Linked DNA regions of Saccharomyces cerevisiae S288C. Changing the gene in region 2 together with the main gene of any one other region gives a genetic interaction. Each region holds a gene or a part of one and is shown on either strand. Other genes may lie near its edges.

Evidence for each region.
Region 1: of IGO1 (region 2) and DHH1, changing one suppresses a phenotype caused by changing the other (phenotypic suppression), as found in Saccharomyces cerevisiae (2 studies listed by BioGRID).
Region 3: mutations in IGO1 (region 2) and MIH1 impair growth when combined (synthetic growth defect), as found in Saccharomyces cerevisiae (one study listed by BioGRID).
Region 4: of IGO1 (region 2) and STB1, changing one suppresses a phenotype caused by changing the other (phenotypic suppression), as found in Saccharomyces cerevisiae (one study listed by BioGRID).

The regions. Positions count from the first base shown.
Region 1 is NC_001136.10:169,061-175,153, reverse strand, and holds DHH1 (DExD/H-box ATP-dependent RNA helicase DHH1), read left to right. Parts: upstream 1-3,223; coding exon 3,224-4,744; downstream 4,745-6,093. Other genes in the region: CMR1 (Cmr1p), read right to left, coding at 1-236; DMO2 (Dmo2p), read left to right, coding at 566-922; mitogen-activated protein kinase kinase STE7, read right to left, coding at 1,126-2,673; YDL159W-A (uncharacterized protein), read right to left, coding at 2,841-2,972; MHF2 (Mhf2p), read left to right, coding at 5,546-5,788; ENT1 (epsin), read right to left, coding at 6,076-6,093. UniProt on the Saccharomyces cerevisiae protein: ATP-dependent RNA helicase involved in mRNA turnover, and more specifically in mRNA decapping by activating the decapping enzyme DCP1.
Region 2 is NC_001146.8:337,890-343,012, forward strand, and holds IGO1 (phosphatase regulator), read left to right. Parts: upstream 1-2,462; coding exon 2,463-2,969; downstream 2,970-5,123. Other genes in the region: ASI2 (Asi2p), read right to left, coding at 589-1,458; PGA1 (Pga1p), read left to right, coding at 1,723-2,319; NSG2 (Nsg2p), read right to left, coding at 3,180-4,079; YNL155C-A (uncharacterized protein), read right to left, coding at 4,022-4,246; CUZ1 (Cuz1p), read left to right, coding at 4,627-5,123. UniProt on the Saccharomyces cerevisiae protein: Required for TORC1 to properly control gene expression and chronological life span. Plays an essential role in initiation of the G0 program by preventing the degradation of specific nutrient-regulated mRNAs via the 5'-3' mRNA decay pathway.
Region 3 is NC_001145.3:339,973-346,221, forward strand, and holds MIH1 (putative tyrosine protein phosphatase MIH1), read right to left. Parts: upstream 3,549-6,249; coding exon 1,884-3,548; downstream 1-1,883. Other genes in the region: RCH1 (Rch1p), read right to left, coding at 1-750; IMP2 (endopeptidase catalytic subunit), read left to right, coding at 1,170-1,703; stress-responsive transcriptional activator MSN2, read right to left, coding at 4,431-6,249.
Region 4 is NC_001146.8:49,491-55,519, reverse strand, and holds STB1 (Stb1p), read right to left. Parts: upstream 2,859-6,029; coding exon 1,596-2,858; downstream 1-1,595. Other genes in the region: KRI1 (Kri1p), read left to right, coding at 1-1,398; ZIM17 (Zim17p), read left to right, coding at 3,089-3,613; putative SCF ubiquitin ligase complex subunit SKP2, read left to right, coding at 3,832-6,029. UniProt on the Saccharomyces cerevisiae protein: Involved in the regulation and timing of MBF-dependent transcription in late G1 of the cell cycle.

The DNA.
Region 1 (6,093 bases), on a different chromosome or scaffold from region 2:
GACTCACCCCTTAGCCTTCTTGATCTTCGTGTAGGTAAAGTGGGACTCGCAGACTTGGTTGCTCTGGTATTAGTTGTTTTTTGTTTCTTTTTTGCAGGAGCTCTAGATTTTTCCAACACCCCAGCCTCGTGCTTAATTTGAGATGCTACTCCAGACAAATGGAGTTTTTTCAATAAATCGTTATTCCTTTTGATGTTCTCTAAACGTTTTTTCTGAAATTCTGTTAATTCCGGCATTCTTGACTGAAAAGCAGCTTTCTTTTAATTGCCGTACTAAAATAGATCGCCTATTGTGTACTATTGACGACAAATGCAAGATTAAAGGGTTTTTATCTTCTCTTTAACAATTGTTCAAATATACATTTACCTCTTTTGGCGTTATTATAATTGTAACATGTCAGAAATTGAACATTAACAAAAAACGCGTAATATGGGGTCCTCGGGTGAAAAATTAACGATGGGCTTTTGAAAAAAGGTACGAGCATATAAAGCGAGTACAGTCATTGTGTGCCACCAAGTAGGAAACAAAACACCGCTTAGAGAGAAACAGCAAGTGGTGAAAAACAATGAGTAATATTTTGGCAGTGTTCAACCCTCCACCACAAAGGGAGCTGGAAAAAGAAGAGACTATGGATTGCGTTCCTTGTCAAGTCATGAGCACTATGTTTTCTGTTGGATTTGGCTCATACTTGGCATCTGGGAAACCATTCAAGTATGGTAAAAAAGAAGCCAAAAGAGGCATTTCTCTGACTGAATTTGAAAAAAGAAACCCACAATGGTGGAAAGTAACTTTACGTAGCTTCGGTGGGTTATTAATCGCCTTCGGTTTCGTTAGAGGAACCGAAGGTTGGTTGTGGCATAAAAATAAAGAATATAAGAACTATAAGAAATTAAGTAACGATGGTGAAACACAGGCTAACTAGTATTATTCGCAAGCTTCTCTCAATCGTGAAATTTTCTGTACATAAAGTGCTACTTTGATGATTATTTTTAAAAATATTGTTACATTAGAAAATTGGTTTGTGATTTACATAATCAGGAGAGTCTATATATATATGAATATAGCTTTGAGAAAGGGATGTGAAAAAAAGTGCAATATGTTCCTAACTAATGTTATCGCATGCATTCAATGGGTTGATCTTTCCGATTGTTTCTTTTCTAACTTGGCACGGTCCAAGGCTTCTCTTTTAATTCTCTTGTCTTCCTTTATTTTAGATTTTATTTTTCTACACCAATGTCTAAATTTATCATCTTTAGACGGTGATACGTATTTCATTATAAGATCATGATGTAGCAATTCATGAATCGATGACCTTTCCCTTTCATTCTTAATACAACACCTATTGACAAAATCTGTCATTTCCTTGGAATAGATACGGTCTTTGGGTAATCTTGGTGAAGGCTCGTTGACAATACGTTGCAGCAAATCCAATATGCCATCAGGTGTATCGTTATGCCCACCTAGGGGAAACTCTCCAGTTACCAGCTCGATGATCATTAAGCCCAATGACCAAACGTCCCCTTTGATAGAATAAACGTTTCCTTGTATCCTCTCTGGTGACATATAAGTGGACGTTCCAACAAATGTATCAGCGATAGAATTTATTAGTTTTTTGGAAACTCCAAAATCACATAACTTAATCTGCCCCTTACTATTAATCAGAACATTGGAAGGCTTGATATCACGATGAATGATCTTATATTGTCGGTACAAATGATCCAAGCCATTTAGTACGCCATACGCTATTTTTGATATTGTTAATTCGTTGAACCAGGTTTTCTTACTCGAAACAGTCCCTCTTTGAACAAACCTTTTATAAACGGACAGTATTTTATCTAAAGAACCACAATCAGAGTATTCCATTAAAATTATGATTTCATTATTTATATGCTGGTTATAATAAGCTCCATAGAAGGTGATAATGTTTTCATGGGGCTTAACGTTTTTGACGATAGATAATTCCCTAACTAATTGGTTGATGATTGTACTGTTATTCTGTTCCACAGGAATGGTTTTTTTGGCAACTATTTTGGAATCAGGAACATGTAGTGCCTTCACCACAGTTCCAGAATTTCCAGCACCAATTTTCCCCAACTGAACCAAGTCCTGGAGTTGTATATAATTACCATTTGAAGTTCCCGACAACGTATCTTTCAGATCTGCTGCGGCTGGCGATAGGCTTTCCTCCAAAGGTGGTAGTGATATCGAATGTTCGTTTTCAACTGGTGTTGCAATATTGGACAATCCCTGAATCGTAGAGGGAGTAGAATTCGTGGATGATGGCGATAATCCGAAATTATTACTGTACGCATCTATAATGCATGGCGTGGACAAAGATGATGATGATGATACACACGGGGATTGTGATAGAGAAGACAGAACTAAAACAGGTTCATTTTGCGGTTGCTGTATTACCACAGTGTTTGGTTTCGATATAGCTTGGTCATCACCAAACGCATCCAACGTCAGTTTTTTTTTTATGCCTCTTCGCAAAAACAGGTTGCTATTATTCTGTATTGCATTAATGTTAGACATCACGTGGCCTTCTATTCGAGATTGTCCCTGGTGAGTCTCTGTCTTTTCCTGCAATTGGCCATTATTGCCCACATCTGGGTGCAGGTTAAGATTGAGCCCTTTCAAGTTCCTTCTCTGTAAAGTCTTTCGTTGAAACATGACCAACAACCAATATACCACGCTGCAAAAACAGATATGATCCGATGCAGTTTTCTTATCATTAGTGTCGCTTCACATTAACCTGTAGGTCTTCTAATCCATCAGATGGGCCAATAATAGTATGATATCGCCGTTACCCCACGAATCACTTATAACGAGGACAGTGATCAAAAAAGGGAGGGAAAAAAATTTCGTAAGAAAAAGGACAACACAATCTTAGAACTAATGGGCGATTGTAACATTGGGGTTTGCAAGAAAAGACAATCATCAATAAAAGTGTTTATTATCTGATTGTACATTTATTTCTCATCATTGGATTCAGTTTTGTTTCATCCACATTCTTTTAAGACCACAAGCTTAATATTTTCATTCATAAAGGATTGTACGACAAAACAACAATAATAGTAAATATAGTCATATTTTATTCCTAATAGAAAGATAGACGCAGAAAATTCTTACTTTTAGCCCTTTTATTTCTTCATAACCGCATCGCCATTCGCATAATAACTTATCCCAGGCCTAAAATACGACAAGAAAGAAAATAGTAGTAATGGGTTCCATCAATAATAACTTCAACACTAATAATAACAGTAATACGGATCTCGATCGGGACTGGAAAACTGCATTGAATATTCCCAAGAAGGATACCAGACCACAGACAGATGATGTCTTAAATACAAAGGGTAATACTTTTGAAGATTTTTATTTGAAAAGAGAGCTGTTAATGGGTATTTTTGAAGCCGGTTTTGAAAAACCATCCCCTATTCAAGAAGAGGCTATTCCGGTAGCAATAACTGGTAGAGACATATTGGCCAGAGCAAAGAATGGTACAGGTAAGACAGCCGCATTTGTTATTCCTACGTTAGAGAAAGTCAAACCAAAGTTGAATAAAATTCAGGCTTTGATCATGGTTCCCACAAGAGAGTTAGCTCTGCAAACTTCCCAAGTCGTCCGTACATTGGGAAAACACTGTGGTATTTCATGTATGGTGACCACTGGTGGTACCAATTTGAGAGACGATATTCTAAGATTAAATGAAACAGTCCATATTTTGGTTGGTACTCCTGGTAGAGTGTTGGATTTAGCTTCGAGAAAAGTAGCAGATCTGTCTGATTGTTCATTATTCATCATGGACGAAGCCGATAAAATGTTATCTCGTGACTTCAAGACAATAATTGAACAAATCTTATCCTTCTTACCTCCAACTCACCAATCTTTATTATTTAGCGCTACTTTCCCACTAACGGTTAAGGAATTCATGGTTAAACATCTGCATAAGCCTTATGAAATTAATTTGATGGAAGAATTGACTCTAAAGGGTATTACTCAATACTACGCCTTTGTTGAAGAAAGACAAAAGCTACATTGTTTAAATACTTTATTCTCTAAGCTTCAAATTAATCAAGCCATTATTTTTTGTAATTCTACTAACCGTGTCGAATTACTAGCCAAGAAAATCACTGATTTAGGCTATTCCTGTTATTACTCTCATGCAAGAATGAAGCAACAAGAAAGAAATAAAGTTTTCCACGAATTTCGTCAAGGTAAGGTTCGTACATTGGTCTGCTCCGATTTATTGACCCGTGGTATCGATATTCAAGCCGTTAATGTCGTTATCAATTTCGATTTCCCCAAAACGGCAGAAACATATTTACATCGTATTGGTAGATCCGGTAGGTTTGGCCACTTGGGTTTAGCAATCAATTTGATTAACTGGAATGATCGGTTTAACCTTTATAAAATCGAACAAGAACTGGGCACTGAAATTGCGGCTATTCCGGCCACTATCGATAAGTCATTGTATGTGGCTGAAAATGACGAAACGGTACCTGTCCCATTCCCGATAGAGCAACAGAGCTATCATCAACAAGCGATACCTCAGCAACAATTACCATCTCAGCAACAATTTGCTATTCCTCCGCAGCAACATCATCCACAATTCATGGTTCCTCCTTCGCATCAGCAACAACAGGCGTATCCTCCACCGCAAATGCCATCGCAGCAGGGGTATCCTCCACAGCAGGAACATTTCATGGCGATGCCACCTGGTCAGTCACAACCCCAGTATTAAAGAATATCTAAGAAAAAATAACTACTGTGGTGAGATACGCTTTTTTTGTGATCTAATCGTCGATTATTTTTATCTTTTTTCAAATCTCCATTGTGAATTACATTACTTTGTAACCATACTTTTACTATTGATTTTGAACAAGAATCAGTCGTAATTTAATTTTTGTCTCTGCTTTTTTATTTTTTTATCCGTTTTCTCTAGTTTCTGTGCTGATTTTTTTATCCTCATTTGCGCACCGTTTTTATTACTATCACTTTGTTATTTCTTTTTGTTTCTCTAAAATTATCTCAAACCACTTCATTCTTTTACCAGTCATTGTTGTAACCAATACTACCGTCCATATCAAGAGCTCAAGTGCACTTGCCCAGTTTCATCGACACTTTCGCTTTTAGCTAACTTTTATTGTTATAATTTCCACAATAAACTATTCATTTCAACTGACAAGATGAAACTTTCTTTGAATATTCTTTCTTTTTTTGAGTTTTTTTTTTTTTAAAAGCTTTTTTTTTTTTTTTTTTATAGAGAGTAATCTCAAGGAAAGAATATTAATACTGTGTATATATATATATATATATACATATATATATAAAACTGTTTAGATAAATTAACCAACCAAAAAGATACATGTATTTTTATTATTTTTACCTATTATTTTTTACTTTGCTGCATCTTCATGTTTCCGGGAGACCAGAATTATCTTTCGGGCCAAAATATCAAAAATCAATCATACATAAAAGCGTGTTAGAATTTACATTATTGCACTTAGAAAGGACATGAGTACAGAGCACAGTAATTGTGGTGATGTTATCTAAAGAAGCGTTAATAAAAATCCTCAGCCAAAATGAAGGTGGTAATGATATGAAAATTGCCGATGAAGTAGTACCAATGATACAGAAATATTTGGATATATTCATTGATGAGGCGGTGCTGCGGTCCTTGCAATCTCACAAGGACATTAACGGAGAACGTGGCGATAAAAGTCCCTTAGAGTTATCGCATCAAGATTTAGAGCGTATCGTAGGGCTTCTTCTGATGGATATGTAAAAGTATTCAACTTACATTACATCCATGTAAAGACATAAGACATTCCTGGTTGTCTGATAAATTTAAAGCACTATATTTTCTTTCAGTCGTCCTGAACTACGTTAGTTTACTAAAGTAGTTTTTGGAGCGATCGTGCGCTCACATATACAAATATACAGTTCATTTTATACTAAACGCTTGCATCAAAACGCGCTGTGAAATGATTAAATTACTTAGTCCATATATATTATGCGATGCGAGAAAATGCTCATCTGATTAGAAATGCGGACTGGAATGACAGAATCACTTCATAAATCAATTAGAGT
Region 2 (5,123 bases):
CCGGGGTGACACTCCACTGAAGTGGGAAAAAAAGAAAAGTTTTAAAACATTGCTCACCTTAAGTCTCGAAGGTCTAGCATTCACTACCTGTAAGTGTCAAGACCCCACATGTATACATGGATACAATAAAGAAACAATGTCCGTATAATTTGTATACATTTTACTACAGATAAGGGATCTCACCCCCTTCTTTTGTGTCTAAGTGAAATCTTCTGATATATTTAGTGTTTTATAGCGTCCATGTTTTAAACTAGAACGGCAAAATAGTAGTTGTTGTAAACGCTTATTTTCGAGACATCAGGTAAAAAGGATAGTTAAATCTTACAATCAATGCATGTAGTGAGTGGCGTTTATCAATAGTTTTTAACAATTCCCATTTTGAAAGAAGCCCACAACAACCCTAGTAGTTCGTTAATATACGTTATGATGGTCAAGTGTCACAGTACGGAAAGCTTGCAAACAGCTCTTACATAGAGGAGTTGCTTCAAAATAAACGTCCTCTGGTGTCAAGTGTCTCATACAGCGACCACATGCGAAAGAAACTACTACAGATAAGCAAATACACAAATTATAATCGTGGATTCATCATCAGAATACGCCTGGCCCTGTAATCCTTTGGCTCACCAACATTCGATGGACACCTTTATATCTTCTAATAACAGTGAATAATAGACACAATACGAAGAAAAACCCAGCGGTAACCATGTAAACGGTACCACTTACGCCATAAGCTAAATAGATCAGAATGGTAGAGACTTTGACAAATAGCTCGAAAGCTTTAGCGAACATTAGTCTTATCCAATTTAAGTTGGGTTCATTGCCATCTCTACTTTTCATAATATGTTTTATCACAGGTGAAGAGTAAAATACAATGATGTTATGAAACTTTCCAAGCAACCCTAATTTACCAGTATCCTTATATGCTATTAATGTCGTGCCACCAGAACCAAATATCTTGGCAAATTTCCAGTATCCCACGATTTCGATTATAAAATCATTCTCTGAAAAGGTCATTGAATTGAACCCGCTCCTTAATATGTTGTATACGGAAAATGGGAATAAAATTAGCCCAATAAAGTAATCTAAAATGAATAAATTTCTAAGAAAAGTTCTGAGAGGGCTCTGCTGCCTTGCTGTGAATGGGGAATCGGCCGTATTGGCGTTGGTGGCTCTTATAGTGTCTGCATTGATTCCTCCATTTCCGTTTGTGGTTGCATCCATATTAGCTGCTCTATTTATATTTGAAGTAGAACTCATATTCCTCCTAAGGGAGTTAAATATTCCATCGATTGCTTGCTGTACATCCTGCTGTAGTTCTTGCTGAGATTGCTCGGTTACAGGTGAAGGCTCTCTACTATGCCTCGTTTCCGATTCTTCTAGAAATCGCTGAAACAGATAATCATCATTATCGTCTCTTTCTGTCCAATTACTGCGGCGATGATTTTGAGGCCTCGCCATTTTTTCTCACTAAATGCTTGTGAGGATGTATGCGTTTGATTCGGTGTCTCTTTAATCATATTCCCGAATCGACCCTATTTGAAGGTAGAGGGAGTTGTTTCCTCTCACTATTGTTATAAAAGATCATCAATGACGGAAACTAATATGCAATGAAAAAATGAGAAGTTTACATGAATATGAAGATTAACTGCACAGCAATGTTGTTGACCCTTGGTATTCGCACACACTAAGCCAACATAGGTTCGTTCAATTTTTAAAAAGAAGATGGTCCGGCCTCAGAATGTTCACTGGTTTATCGCTACAATTGTATTTTTCATCGGATTTGTACACGCTAATACAGAATCAATCTTATATAAGGTTCCTCACAACTTTCCCCTCAAAAAACCAAGAGACAGCTCTACTTATGCAAGAGATGTAAACTTGATATCTTCCATATCACTATCGGGAGAAGCAATGAGTCAGATCACTATCGAGGCCAATACCACTGACTTGGAGTTGCATAATACTACGTATATTGAACTGGCGGACTTACAGCGAGACGAAACATATCAGATTAAAGTGTGTTGGTCAGCAATACATCCAATTTCCATTAATAATCTCCAAACTATCACAATACCACGTTTCACTGAATTTCAGGGAACTAAGTCAGACTACGCGAGAATACTAGTGACTTTCCAGGTCTTGTCTGACTCGTATCCTAGTGAGCATGCCATGGTTCCAATACAAGTCTCATTAATCACCACTCGGCTAGGTATCCCCGTGGATATTTACCCAACATTAATCGTTATGGTGCTATTAGTAGCAGGGCTTGTTGTTACCCGGGCACCACACGTATTGAACGATCTTTTGCTGAAATTTTAGTATGGAAGCCTGAGCCCCCTTTGGCTGGATAGCTTGGCCTCATCACAACTAGAACGTAAAAAAGTCCATTAACCATCAAATGCTTCTCATTAAAGTGGGTATTTTTATCGAAAGAAAGGGACCTGAATATCTAACTCGCCGCTATGTCGAATGAAAACTTATCTCCCAATAGTAGTAACCCAGATTTAACTAAACTGAATAACGGCGAAAGCGGAACTATTGATACCAGCAAATTCTCGCCCAACGAAATGAAGCTATACAAAATGTACGGAAAGCTGCCATCAAAGAAAGATATTTTTAAGCATACCATGCAGAAAAGAAAATATTTCGACAGTGGTGATTACGCTTTGCAGAAAGCTGGCATTCAAAACAATGATCCAATAAACTATGGAAAGAATAACCTGCCATTAACAAATCCCAGCAAACTACGAGAAGATATAATAAAAAGAAGGATAAGCACTTGTCCGTCAACTGCCTCAACCGCTGGTGTAGTAGATAATGCGACGTTGATACAAAAGGAGGGAAGTATATCGAGTGGACCACCATCGTCTAATAACGGTACTATTGGAGGTGGTAGTACAAGTTCAACGCCAGTGGGGAACCACAGCTCTTCGTCGTCCAGTTTGTATACTGAATCACCCATTAGATAAATAGACAACCTGTACTTTTTTATATTTTTTTAGGGAAAGAGAAGGGTCTCTTATATTTAACGCTTATTATGTGATTTCTCGAAATGTCAAGTGTTACAGCCATATGGCTGACTGTGTTTACGTTAATTAGTTATATATAAACGATAAGCCATTCTGATGTTATCTTCTTGTACTTCTAATTAATAATATTTACTCGTCAGAATTTCGACTTTAATGAGAATATAGATATCTTCCTAGTTTTCCAAACATTAGAGAACCAAGGAAATAAAAATCCATGAAATATAAAAATTGGGAACCGTCGATAATATCTTTGTAGCAAGAGATACAACAACCCACCCCAATGCAGATGCAGCTCATTAACATGGATATTGAGCCGTCAAAAAACAACCACAGTATAATATTCAGAAGCCCCCATGCCCCTGCCGCCTGCAAAGAGGAGTTCCACTGTATTTTCCTGATCCCAAATGTGACTCCCAACATGGCATTGATACTTCTAATAACAGAGGTCAAACTGTCATGGTGGACAGAGCTCTTAACAACCTCTGTTTGAAAAATATTATCCAGAATTGGTACAACAGAACCAAATAACAGTCCTTCAACACCGTAGCCTAACCAGTTTGGCAGAACCCCATTGGATAGCCAGTTACAAAGTTTGACACCCAGTAGAAGGGGTCTCGATGCAAAATCTGGATGTAAGAGATGATTATCGTGCAAGTTTCTGGACAGTTCATGATATGCGAAACCGCTCAATGACAAAATTAATACAGCTTGCAGGTAATGAAGAATATTTTGACGAGTTTGTCTGGTTCTTGACGGAAAGTTTTCGTGAATGGATGATGCTGATAAAATCCTTTCCAAATTATTAGAAGATACTGTGTTCCTTGGCAGCGAGCCGCCAACCTTATGGGCCAAGTAAAAAGTCGAATCAATAGTTTGATCTCTACTATATTTGGTAGAATCTATAGAGACAGAGCGTTTCAATTCTTCGTAAATTTCGTTATCTTCCGATCTCACGACGTCATCATCATATAATGAATAAAGCTGCGGTTTAGTCAGAGAGCAGATTGATTCGGTGCTCTTCTTTGGATCCGGTTCTCCTCTATTGGCCATTCTGTATGCTGTTTTCTTTGAGAAATACTTTGTCGTTTATCTTCGTCCTTGTCTTCTTTTTGGTCCTTTGTGTTTGAGTGCTTTCCAAACTTTTTCTTTACCTTTTGCACGCCAACTACTATGCCCTTTATTGCAAATAAAATAGGTACTACAATAAGCCCTATCATCAATGTTGAGCTGTCAACTAGAAGTTTAAGGAAAAGAACATCTCGAAGTTTAGTAATTTCCTTGCTTTCATATTTTAAATGTCTAGCTAATTTCGTATCTACCCTTTATCTCATGCCGATAAAAAGAAAAGTTCCCCCCTCGTGGCCAGCGACGTTCGTATATACATAAAACTGCCTCACCCTCCTTTCGGTGGCAAAAGCATGTTCTACAAATGAGTATAAAGATGTAATAAGAGCTTGTACAAGCAAGGACTCGAGCTAGGGCGGAAGTGTGACAACAGTGAGCTATAGGCACATTGTAGTGTACATCTACTGCAAGAGCTTGCATTAATTTTGATATAAAAAAAAGGACCATCAACTAATTTTTGCTATATTTAAGAATGTCGGCGGCTATCGAAAAAGAAACCGGAATGTTGGATGTAGGAAAGCACTGTGCATATTGTAGACAACTAGACTTCCTACCTTTCCATTGTTCGTTTTGCAATGAAGATTTCTGCTCGAACCATAGACTTAAGGAAGATCACCACTGTAGGTGGTTGCTAGAGCATGAAGAAGTTCATAAAACTGAAAAAAGTCCTAGCAAAAGCCGGGATGGCTCAAGTTCTAACGATGAAGCATATTTCAAGAGTCTGTTACCTGAGAGGGCCAGTGTTAGAATCCAGAGAGTAAGTGAAACAAGAGAGCCTTTGAGAGGTTCTAACACTGCCAAAGTGAGCTCTACTTTGAACTCAAAGACATTAGACAAAATATTTAAGTTCTTCCAAAGGAATGAGAAAAGAAAGAGCAATAACAAATCAAAAAAGAATTTCGGTTCCTCGTCGAATAAGATAATTCAATTGGCTAATCTCAAGAAAATTGCTAAAGGTGACCCCAAGAT
Region 3 (6,249 bases), on a different chromosome or scaffold from region 2:
GAATGAACTAAACATAATCAATAAAAGCATGTAAGATCCAATTTTAATATGGTATTTTTTCAAAAAGCCCAGGTAATAAGCAGTACCCTTCGGAAAGCAATTTTGAATAACCTGACCCACAAACAAGGGTACGAATACAGAGAGACCAACCTGTTTCATAACACGGCCATAAAGCGCACCAATGCCATTTCCAGTGGCAGGGTTGCCGTATGCAAATGGTGCGCGGTTAGTAAACATTTGAACCAATGCAGGTGTAATAAACGCACCCAACAAATTTCCAATGAATACTTCACAAACGCACAAAAGGCTATTTCCACCTGCATTCGTAGTCATGATAACGTTTGAAGCCACGGTTGTTGGACAAGTGGCAGTCAAAATTAGACCGATAAGTACCCAGTCATCTATTTTCGGATCATTAGCAGCCTTTACCGCGCAACAAAATCCATATACTATGGACGAGGTAATAAGGAAACTCAGAACCAGAATAGTGGCATGAGCTCTCCAATTTAACATATTTGCCATTAGTGACCTTGATTTCATTCCCAGGCCACTTTGGAGAAAAATCCAGGCGACGCAGCCGTACCCAATACTATATTGGCCTTTAATTAACCCTCCGTCTCTTGCAAAATTCGGAGCAAATCTTGCAATAACGATTAAAATAGCCAAACAGATGAAAAACCACTGGGATTTCAGAAATTCTGTTACTGAATGTGCCCAAATTTTTCGTATTAGAGAGTACTGAGTCTTCATTTGGCACTAAGTAGGTGTATTAAATGTGTGTCTTCCTTCTTTTTGCAAGTTATGTCAGAGTTGGGATATATCGTAGAAAAGGGTGCGAAGGTGATTCAGGTAGCATAGACGGTTTCAGGCAATAAAAAGCTATAAATCTCTCTTTATATAATTGAAGGTTAAAATTTGCTAGATTTTAAAGTGGTTCGGTTCTTTTTTATGCTTTCTTAGCTTCTGGCTGTTCGTTGGAGCTCAGACTTACGGGTAGACCAATGTCATCGAAATACTGTGGAAGATCAAGCTCGGAAGGAGAGCGAGGCTAAGTTCCGAGCTACTGAAAAAAATGGAAAAAACAAGTGCCTTAATTGAATGACTAGATGGGTGCTTGTTAACGAAGGCGTGCTGCTATTCATGAAGCTGTTGCATTGTACTGTACAGTAATGTTTCGAGCCGGATCATCAAAAAGATTCTTACGAAACACACTAATAGCAATTTCATGGGTTCCGGTACTTCTAACAATCAATAATAATGTGGTCCATATTGCGCAAGTTAAAGGTACCTCTATGCAGCCTACGCTGAACCCGCAAACGGAAACGCTGGCAACAGATTGGGTGCTGCTTTGGAAGTTTGGAGTCAAGAACCCAAGTAATTTATCTAGAGATGACATTATCCTTTTCAAAGCTCCTACAAACCCTCGGAAAGTTTACTGCAAAAGGGTTAAAGGTTTACCGTTTGATACCATTGACACGAAGTTTCCATACCCTAAACCTCAAGTGAACCTGCCCAGGGGACACATATGGGTCGAAGGGGACAATTATTTTCATTCGATTGATAGCAATACTTTTGGCCCCATTTCCAGTGGGTTGGTCATAGGGAAAGCTATAACAATTGTTTGGCCACCCTCCAGGTGGGGAACGGATCTCAAACTGAGTACCGGTAGAGACTGCATTAGCAAAAGAGCCATTTTAGAATGAAAATCAGCTTATTTTTATGAATTTAGAAGTGACCCCGGTATTCAAATGCAAATTTTTTATATTATGTGATTAATCTAATGCAATAAATATAGATGATTGTGATTTATGTATTGATGTTGTTGCCGTTCGGTTCCTGAATATATACTTCTTTTTTTCATAATACTTCATGCACATGTAGTATCATTTTTTATCTTCAGTCTCTAGAGAAGGGAATAACGATCTTCTTGCGGGCCTGGGTAAATCTTCTCGGTCGGAACCAACGAAAGTAAAATCTCCGTCTTGCTCTTCATCTCCACTTACTTGCTGATGATTGCCTCTCTCATCTTCGAAACTAAAATATGATGGGGTATCCAGTCCGTCCATTAGTAGCATATGTGAAGTGCTTAGGTTACTGTTACTACTCATAGACGACTTACTTAAGATGGGGAAGAAATTTTCGTCGCCTGTACTCTCACTTGAATTTAATGATGAACCACTAGAGACTCTTCTGTGGTTTAATGACAGCTTCGGAGGCGGCTCAAACCTGAACGATAGTGCAGAAGATGCCATTGTTGTTGAAGATTGATGGCTATCTCTATAAAAGAAGTTAGGATTTGAAGGGGAAGCTAGTTTTCTAAAAGAATTATTTTTAGTAGCAAATCTTTTAGATTCTCTCCTAAACTTATCCATTTCTTGTTCACAATTCAGCAAATTTTCTTGTGAGTTCATTCCCACGTACTGACGTGGATAACATAGTTCAGGAAAATTGTCAAAAACAGCTTTGTATCCGCCATCCAATATCAATATGTCGGGATAGAATAATTTGGGATAATGATCCTGATTTATTATACGATCACAATTTCTCAAATGAGAGGCCAATGAAGGTCCCCGGTGGGAACTAAATTCGCAATGGATAATTAAAAGAGTTGGTAGAGTGTTGTTGTTGCTAGTATCGCTATGCAAAACTTTATGGATAAATTCGTACTCTAACTCATCTCTCGAGTGTATGTTAACGGAGTTTATTATGTGGCCGCCAGTATATTCGTATTCAAACCGACAATCTATAATACGACATGAATTATAAAATGACTCGCACATATTATTCTGCAGAATATTTTTCAACGTTTCTGGAGAAATTCGAGGGAAAAAGTCATTTGAGTTACGATCGTCATAATAATATGGTATCTGTGTTTTGGCTAGGCATGATTCAAAACATTTCACCCCTACCGAATTAGGAGCTAGTGGACTGGATGACGCAGACGTGAAGTTCAAAGTATTCTGAGTAATGTTAGAAAATTTCTGTGAACTTTTTCTCGATGACCTCGGAATTTTCCCATCTTGCCGTTGCACCCTCCTGCTTGAATTGCTACTGCTATTCATGCTTGGCTTTCTCGACAAGGACCTTGACCTTGAAAAAGAGCTCGACCTCTGGGGACTGCCAGGATACTTGATTCTACTTAAAAGATCATTATCCCTATTATTGGTCAAAGATCTTCTTGATGAGTTTCTTGTTGGACTTTGTAAGGTTTGAGAAGCAAAATGCATGCTTAAGACTATATCATCATTTTCATTTTCATTTTCATCTAACTCATCGCGATGGCCAAGCTGCTTTATATTCGGTGAAGGACCATCAATTTCCTTACTCCTGTGATTTGTTAACAATGGAGATTTATCAAAGGCAAGATTCTCTTTATTGATTAAATCATCGTCGACATTCGAATGTTTGCTTTTTGACTTAAAGAAGGTCTGAACATTTCTAAATATGTTCTTCTTCTTACCAAAGGGACTTTTCAAGGAAATTTTTTGGAAACTAAGAACGTCTTCATTGGCACATTCATCTTCAGTTCCATGAAATATATTGTTCATGGTTTCTTCACCCTCGCTGACTTCAATCCTGGTTTGTCCACTGCTCTGTTTATCTTTTGTCTCCTTTCAAGTTAACTCTCTTTTCTTTGTTTTCGCTTGTAACTTTAAGTTTTCTGATATACGGCATCGAAACAGGGAAAAAACAGATAAAGCATAAAAAAGAAGGAAATAACAGAGTGTAACTGTTGGGGAAATATCATAATGAGAATATTTAAACGCCGGAACAATGTATCAAAAAGGGCTTTACCGCTAATAAGTGGAGTATCTATGCTTTTTTGACGTATACAATGGACAGAAAAAGCGCCATATAAAACATTGAAGCCCCTCTTCATCCTTAGTCCTGAAAATGAGGCCTAGGAAATTAAGTATTCGGCAAAGATACATAATACAGTTCTAAAAGTAGCAAACTGGTAGATACTATTTGTGGCGCAGTTAGCTACCCCAAAATAAAAACGGTAATCTTCTCCCATTAGGGGCACCCCTCTTGCTTTTGTACGATGTGGTATCTTCGATTTTCAAACTGACAGGCATATTGCACAGCATAATGCGCACGGAATTCATTAAACTGTACGGATATATATATGATATTACGGTGCCATATGATATTATACAATATTATACTGTACTGTACTATATTATATTATATTGTATTAATTATATTATACTATACCCTATCATACCAAATATTTTGGCTATATTAATTTTTATCTACGTGTATCTAAGTTGTTACAGGCGGGGGAACTGAATTCCTTCAAAATGTGAAGGTACCGGAAAAATGGCAAAGAATCATGATAATAATAACAATAAGCCGTAAGCTTCATAAGTCATTGAACAGAATTATCTTATGAAGAAAGATCTATCGAATTAAAAAAATGGGGTCTATTAAATGTCTCCATGTTTTTTATGAGTCTTGATGTGTTGCGACAAATTATCGCTTCTACTAAATTTCTTATCGCATATGTGACAAGCAAATGGTCGTTCGTTAGAGTGAACAGATCTCACATGCCTTTTCAAATGTTCGCTGCGCTTAAAGCTCTTGGGACAAATGTGACAGTGGAACGGTTTCTCCTCGAGTTCCTTTGTTGATTCTATTACGACACTTGATCTTCTGGACGGTGTCATTGATTTTCTCCTGTAACTTGGCCTTCTTTCCTTCGTAACCCCAGCACCATTGCCAGTTGAGTTGACACTACTACTGCTTATATTATTTTGTTGATTTGTAAGCGGCACCGTACCCATCAAAGGCACAGCAGACTTCCGCCTCCGAAGGGAAGAACCGATTTTAGAGTTCATGGTATGGTGACCCTGCTGTGGGAAATGGTGATAGAAATGATTTGTTGCAAGAGACGTGGAGGATGATGATGCAGGCGATAATGGAGCCATATTCATTTGAGTGATGGAAAGATCGAAATTTGGAGTAGAATTAGCATTTTGTTCACCTTCCTCTGTCAAAAATGGCATATCATTACTCAAGCCTGTAGTCGCCACTTTCGCAATAACGGACGCATTGTCTGAAAGAATCATAGACGGTTTGATAAATTGTTGAGATGAACTCAAATTTGAATTCGGCAGCATATCGTTCTTGGGGTCTTCATCCTGCTTATTAACCAGGTCGTAGCTTAGTGAATCATCGATTATGGGTAAAGAAGCTCTTTGCCTTCTTGAATAAAGATCGCTGTTGAAGGATTTCATGTTAGTGCTACTGTTATTATGTGACGAGGTGAGCTGCTTGTGTTGAACTCGGTTTAGCTGTTGCTGTAATTGCTGACTTGGATTTATCTTTGTCATAGCATTGGCATCAAAAGAACTTGGGCAAGCAGATTTGTTCTTGCCAGAAGTGGATGTGCCCAAATTATCGTTGAAGTTCATATTATATTCGTTAAGAATCTGTGTCAACTCATTGTCTATGGTAGCGTCATTGTTTTTCGGGTTGCCAGCAATATTTGAGTCTGCATTTGCGTTCATAGTAGTGGTATTCGGACTTGCATTGGAACTTGAGGTAGAATTAGTAGTGATATTGAGATTTGTATTTCTATTGCTTGGATTAATTTTCGGATGGTTCCAAAGGTCCAAAGAGTGAGAAATAGAATTCCTCGAATTTGTCATTGACGGAAATTGGTTTGTTATAACGTCGCTAAATCTTCGGCGTGATAAATTAGTGTCATCATCATCATCATTCAATAAGAGATCACTAGAAACGTAATCATCTAGCATGGAGTCTATGTTCAGTGAATTAAAATAACTGGAATTTAAATTACCCGTAGAATTGGAGTTTGAATTAGAAATGGAGTTAGAATATGAATTTGTATCTGAGTTCAATTGATTTCTTAGTTTTTCGTTCAAATTGTTTGGGTTAGTGTCAATGAAAAGATTCGAATTAGCACCATTAGGTAAGGACAGACGATTATCTTTAATGGACGTATGTTGTTGGGCTCGAGGAGATATAAGAGTTTCATTACCATTTGAAGTTTGAGGCGATAAATTAGTTTCGTTACTTGCTGTATTTATGGGAGGATTTATAGTCGGATTTTGAGGTACCGATGAAGGTGACGGTGATTGTAACGGATTGTTCATGTTGTACAAAATGTCGTTCATAGGATAAGGTGAAGTAAGAGTTGTGTATTGATTTGCCCCAGAGCCACTAGCATTATTAGTACTCTTAATTTCACTATCATTTTCAATAGTTCTTGCATCGCGATTT
Region 4 (6,029 bases), 290 kb from region 2:
GATTATCACCGTATGAACATACTTTCTGGTGATGCCTTAAAGGAGGATGACGAAGAATACGAACATGCAACTGTTGACGGAAAGCAATCTTTCGTCTCGCAACAACGTGAAGAGAAAACTCAGCTTTTAAATGAAATCAAGAGTGCCTTTAGCGATGAAGAAAATGAAGAGTCTAGCGGAGATGAAGACGATGGGTTTTTGAAGAAAAAGGAACCTTCTACGAAGAAGGAAGGAAAAAATTTACCGGATCCAACCGTAAATGAAGAAAATTTCTTGGAAGAATTTGTGAATCAACAGGCCTGGATTCCTAAGAAGGGGGACAAGGTGATTTCTCTTGACCTCAACAATAATGAAGAGGACGATGAAGAATTTGAAGATGCTGCAGAAAAATTTGAGAATGCCTACAATTTTAGGTACGAGGACCCAAACGCAGCTGAAATTATATCTTATGCACGTAGTCAAGCTACACTAAGAAGATCCGATGACTCTTCACGCAGAAGAAAAAGAGAGGAAAAAAGAAAAATTAAAGAGCAAATAAAAGCAGAGAAGGAGACAGCTCTTCAGAAAAAGAAGACTAAAAAATTGAATAAATTGACTGACATTTTAGAGCAACTAACAAAGGAATATGGTGCTGAAATTAATGCCGACATGGTGAAAAAAATCACTGACACCCTATTGAAGAACGATTTCAAAGAAGAAGAGTGGGATAACGTGGTAGCTGAATTATTTAATGAAGAATTTTATCAACAAGAGGGAAAGCCTACCTGGAACGAGGATGACGAAATAATGGGTGACTTTTATGCAGACGCCGATGGTGATGACCAAACAGAAGAAGGTGAAGTGGAAAAAGAACAAAAAGAAGAAGACGAGGAAGAAGGTCCAAAAAGAAAGAAGAGCAAGAAAGAAGAGAAACTGCAAAAGAAGAAAGAAAAGAGAAAGGTAAATGAATTAGTGGAAAATGCTTTGGAACAAAACAAACTAGCACTAATAGAGGAGGTTGAAAAAGAAGAAGAAGAAAGAAAGAGTAGAAGCCGTACAAAAGAGGAGCAAGATTTGAAGTTTCGTTACCGTGAAGTTTCTCCTGAGAGTTTCGGTTTGACCGCAAGAGAGATTTTCGCCGCCGATGATACTGATTTAAATGAATTTATTGGTTTGAAGAAATTTGCACCTTATCGTTCCAAGGAACTAAGAGCGAAGGATAAAAGGAAAGTGATGAAGGCAAGAAGATTAAGAGAGTGGAGGAAGAAAACTTTTAAGAACGAAAATGGGTTAGCTCCAGTCGAAGCAGAGGCAGGGGAGAAGGATGAGGACACCATACTGATACCTGTAGAGAAAGCCTCTAAAAGCAAACACAAGAGGGGGCACAGTCATAAACATAAAGGCCACCAGAAAAAGTAAACTAGGTGAAATATCGGCCCTGTATATTACGATACATAAGCTTACATAGTGATAATCTATCTCCGAATTTCCCTAAAAAAGAATGTCATTTTACGTATTAATATGTAATTTTATAATTTCAACATTTGTCATTTTTGTCCCTTTGAGTGGTCCATTTCAGGAAGTATGGAATCATCAACTGATATGGCCGTCAACGATCAATCAGTGAGTTTGTCATCAATGGACTCCCCTTCGCCTATACGGTCGGTGCCGGGTCCTACAATGAGCGGGATCCCGTTTGCGTTCATATCTAGAAAATTGTTTGTGGTGTGGCTTGATATAGCAGCTGTTGCTATCGCAGAAGTGTTGGAAGATGATCCGGGCACCATCGCTGGAACAGAAGGAATTGAAGCTGACGTGTTTGACGCTCCCTGCTGGGCGGGGACCCTTGGTGAAGGGCTGAAAAGATTATGCAGATAGTCTCCCATGTTGAAGTTGGGCGTCCTGAGTAAGTTAAAATTGGTACCGTTCAATTCTCTTGAAGGCGTGGTAGGTACGTTACTAGGTGGATGCAATGTGTTTGTGGTGGGCTTTCTTCTCTGCTGTGGCGATAGTGTCGCCTGGACACTACCGTTATTATTGCTCAAGTATAGTGATGGAGAATCCATGAGAGATTCGTCCGGAAAATTCGGTAACAGATTAGATTTGAAAGTGGACTGCGGAGAAGACGCTGAAGGTTTGATATGAGAGAATCTTACTGCATCGTTTGATGTGCTTGCTGTATTACCGTTCAAACTCAATTGCGACGCGTAATGATAAGAGCGTGGAGTAGTGGGCATCCTTACGGCCATCGGTGTTCCATGATGTGATGACTTATTATATGGACTTGTGGCTAAATACATTAAGAGATCAGCGCCCGCAGTGTTGTCGCTGTCCTGTGGAGCATCCTTAGAGCCTGCTGCCTTCTTCTTGATATTATTATTGTTATTGCTATGGTTACTGCTGTTGTTATTATTACGTTTTGGCGTCATGAAATTCTTATCATGGGGGCGCTGGTAGTGTGACGAAGCGTGTGGTAAGATTATAGGTGTAGCAGAAGCCCTCGGAGTAGATGGAGTGTCCTCCTTCCTAGGCTTGATCTGCTGTGAGCGGTCTTCGGCTTTTCGTTGGCGTGAACTTGGGGGAGTATTTGGCTTCTCTACAAATTTTACGGGCGATATAACAGTCATTTTATTTGTATCATCGTGGAGAGGCTTTTTCGCAGGCGATATGGCTTCCAAAAGAGTTTTGTGGTCCTCATCAACATCTTCGGCATCCTCTCCGCTTCTTTTCTTTGTTGTAGAGTCCTGTTTTCGTTTTGTTGATGGGACATTACTTAAACCAAGCTTTAATTGACGCGTCATCTGAGCCAACTCAGCTCTATGCAAAATCTTGGAGGCCAATTCTTGCTCTTTTTCAGGGGACATCTGGGGTTGAGACATTTCTTGTATGCACAATGGGAACACTGATTGAAAATAGTAACGCTCTACGTACTCCTTCTTTCGATGATATTTTTGGTTCCTTCTGCACTTCATAATTGTAATTTTTTTTTCTTGCATTTTCGCGTGATATCAAAATTATGAGAGGAAAGGTGAAAGAGCGTCATGTTGGCTTCAAGGGATCAGCGATACTAAAGCAGCACCGGTGCAACTGGAATATCAAGAGACTGAACATGATTCCGAGGACTAGAACACTACTGCAAAGTAAAATACCAATTACCAGGTACTTTGCCAGATGTTGGGCGCCTCGCGTACGCTACAACGTGTGCCGTACTCTACCCGCAGCAGCGTTGCATACCAATATCATCGCACATAATGAAGTGAAAAAGGACGATAAGAAGGTTCATTTGGGGTCTTTTAAGGTAGACAAGCCTAAGATGATGATAGCTTTCACCTGCAAGAAATGTAACACCCGATCTTCACACACAATGTCCAAGCAGGCGTACGAGAAAGGTACTGTCTTGATCTCTTGTCCGCACTGCAAAGTGAGACATTTGATAGCAGACCATCTGAAAATATTCCATGATCATCATGTTACCGTGGAACAGTTAATGAAAGCTAACGGAGAACAAGTTAGCCAAGACGTGGGCGACTTGGAGTTTGAAGACATCCCAGATTCGCTAAAGGACGTCCTGGGAAAATATGCCAAGAACAACTCAGAAAATGCATCCCAGCTCCCTCACCCTTCCCAGAAATGAATGAAGAGCTCATGCACAGGCATGTACATAGATAGATATATAACCGTTAAATAGCACGTTTTTCCAGAGACTGAGTCATGATTACTGCCAAAAACCCGCACATCACATATTTTTTTGCGATAACCAGCAGAAGATTTAGGACTAGAGTACATAAAGATGAGCCACTGCTAGATATGAAAAGTTGAACCGCATTTTCAAACGTTCAAACCAACCGAATCATGAAACGGTTGCAATTGTTTGGTAGATCAAAATATTTCTCGCTGGTCTCCAGTGCTGCGAAGGAGGAAGAAGAAGAGGAAGAGGGCTGTGCTGATGCCAAAAGCCTTCTACATAGTACGAGCCATGATATCAAATCGAGATCACTACGCTTCAACGATAAATCGTCCCTCATGTGTTTGCCAACAAAAGTTCTACTGTTAATACTGCGAACTTTGGACTTCAATACATTAGTAACACTATGCCAAGTCAATTCGAGGTTCTACAATTTGATTACGAATGAGTTCCTTTTCCAAAACGTTATTTTGGACTCAAAACTTTCGTTGTTAAAGTTCAATGCTTTGATACACTCCGAGTTCCACACGTCGAACATTGTCACACACAGCGGTGATTGTAGCACACAATCTAGATCACAAAATGCAAGGTTCCTCGTAAGATCCATCGAATTCAAAAATCCTCAGTCCCAAGACTCGTTGTTAAAATACAGTAAGTTCTATAATAAGAGTGGCCAAGATTCTATTATTGCTGGATCTTATAAACTCGATTCGTATGATAAAGACGTAAAAAAACTGAATAACATCAGACTAAACGATGAGACTCCCATCATAACTTCAGAACGAATCAAACTGCTTGATAAATTGGAAAGCAACTACTTCCATTATACTTATATTGAGCTAATGCTTGATATTATAGACTATCTACCGAACCTGACCAGAGTGATTCTGAGTGATGTGGAACCGAATTTTAAAATTCCTTTATGGTACTCTGTATTCAACGATGGATCTAGAGATTTTTTCAAGAAAATAATCAAGGGCCAGCAATCCATCACAAACGAAGATTTGAGGACTTTCCAACTATCCAAAAAATTTGTCAAAGAATACGAATCCAAGTATTATTCTCTGCCAAGGTTGAAAATACTGGAAATCAAAGCTAATAATAAAAGACAAAGAACCTTTAATCGTCAACGCCATCACCAAAAGCTCGTACTAAGACCGAGTTTATTCTGCTGTTTCGGCATAATTAATGAACTTAAACTAGAAAATGTAACGATAGACACCGAATCGCTAGATACTCCAATGGAATTCTTACCACTATTTCTAAAGAACGAAGATAATGAACTGTACAGTTTACAGTCTCCTATCACTGCACTTACTTTAGATTCATGTGATGTAGTTCCTGGAAATGGAATATTACGTTTGTTTCACTCTTACTTTAAAATGGTCAAACATCTATCCTTACTGAAGATTAACAGTAAATTCGACTTATTGTTATGCAGTTGTTTCCCATCGTTATCCAATCTAACAATTGATTGTAATAGCAAATGTTTCACTAACGAACAGGTAGTCGGCGAATCATATTATTTCCAACAGCGAAGTTTGGATACAGAAGATGATTTTGATGACTGCAATTCCATGACAGAAACATTATTTGAAGCGCCATCAGATTCGAAGATAATTACTCCTCCGCCGACATCTTCAGTTGTATTGTCCTTAAATCTGAACTATATTTCTAGAACTACAGGAAATGATGTTTCAAATAACCCATCACCAGACAATAACAAAAAGCCCGCCATGTTAACTGCGGCACAGCTACAAAATTTTCAACGACAAAGAATCCCTGAATTTCATTCTTTCTACCATTATTACCGCTTACTTTGGGAGAGACTTCCAAGTAAAAATATTTCTATTAACGTAATCAATATCCCCTTTACCAATGTGTATCCTTTATCCCCTCTATCGTTTTGGGAACATCTAGCAAGAACAATTACTAGTGTTGATGAGACAGATGAGGATGTTGGCGACGAGAACGATCAAGAAACATTAATCGGTTACGAAAATAATTCCATAAGAGATAACATACCAAATGCTAATGCAGTTCCAAATTTAAGTACAGTAATGAGCCCTGAATCAGACATTCACCACACTTACTATTGGAACAACTCTGTAAGGCGTTGCCTAAGAGATAGTTTAATCAAATTGAAGAACCGAACCATCGAATATAGAGATTTAGATGTGGAGGAGTTCTTACAAAATGTGACATTGGAAAATTTTTTCAATGATTTCCAAGATCCAGAGAATTTTAAAGATATTCCAAATATTAACCTCTGGTGTTTCCTGAGAAATTTGTCAAAATTCAAAGCTGTCAAAATAAGAATGCTGAGACATTTTTCATTATGTACACCTAGAACCAGATACGACTG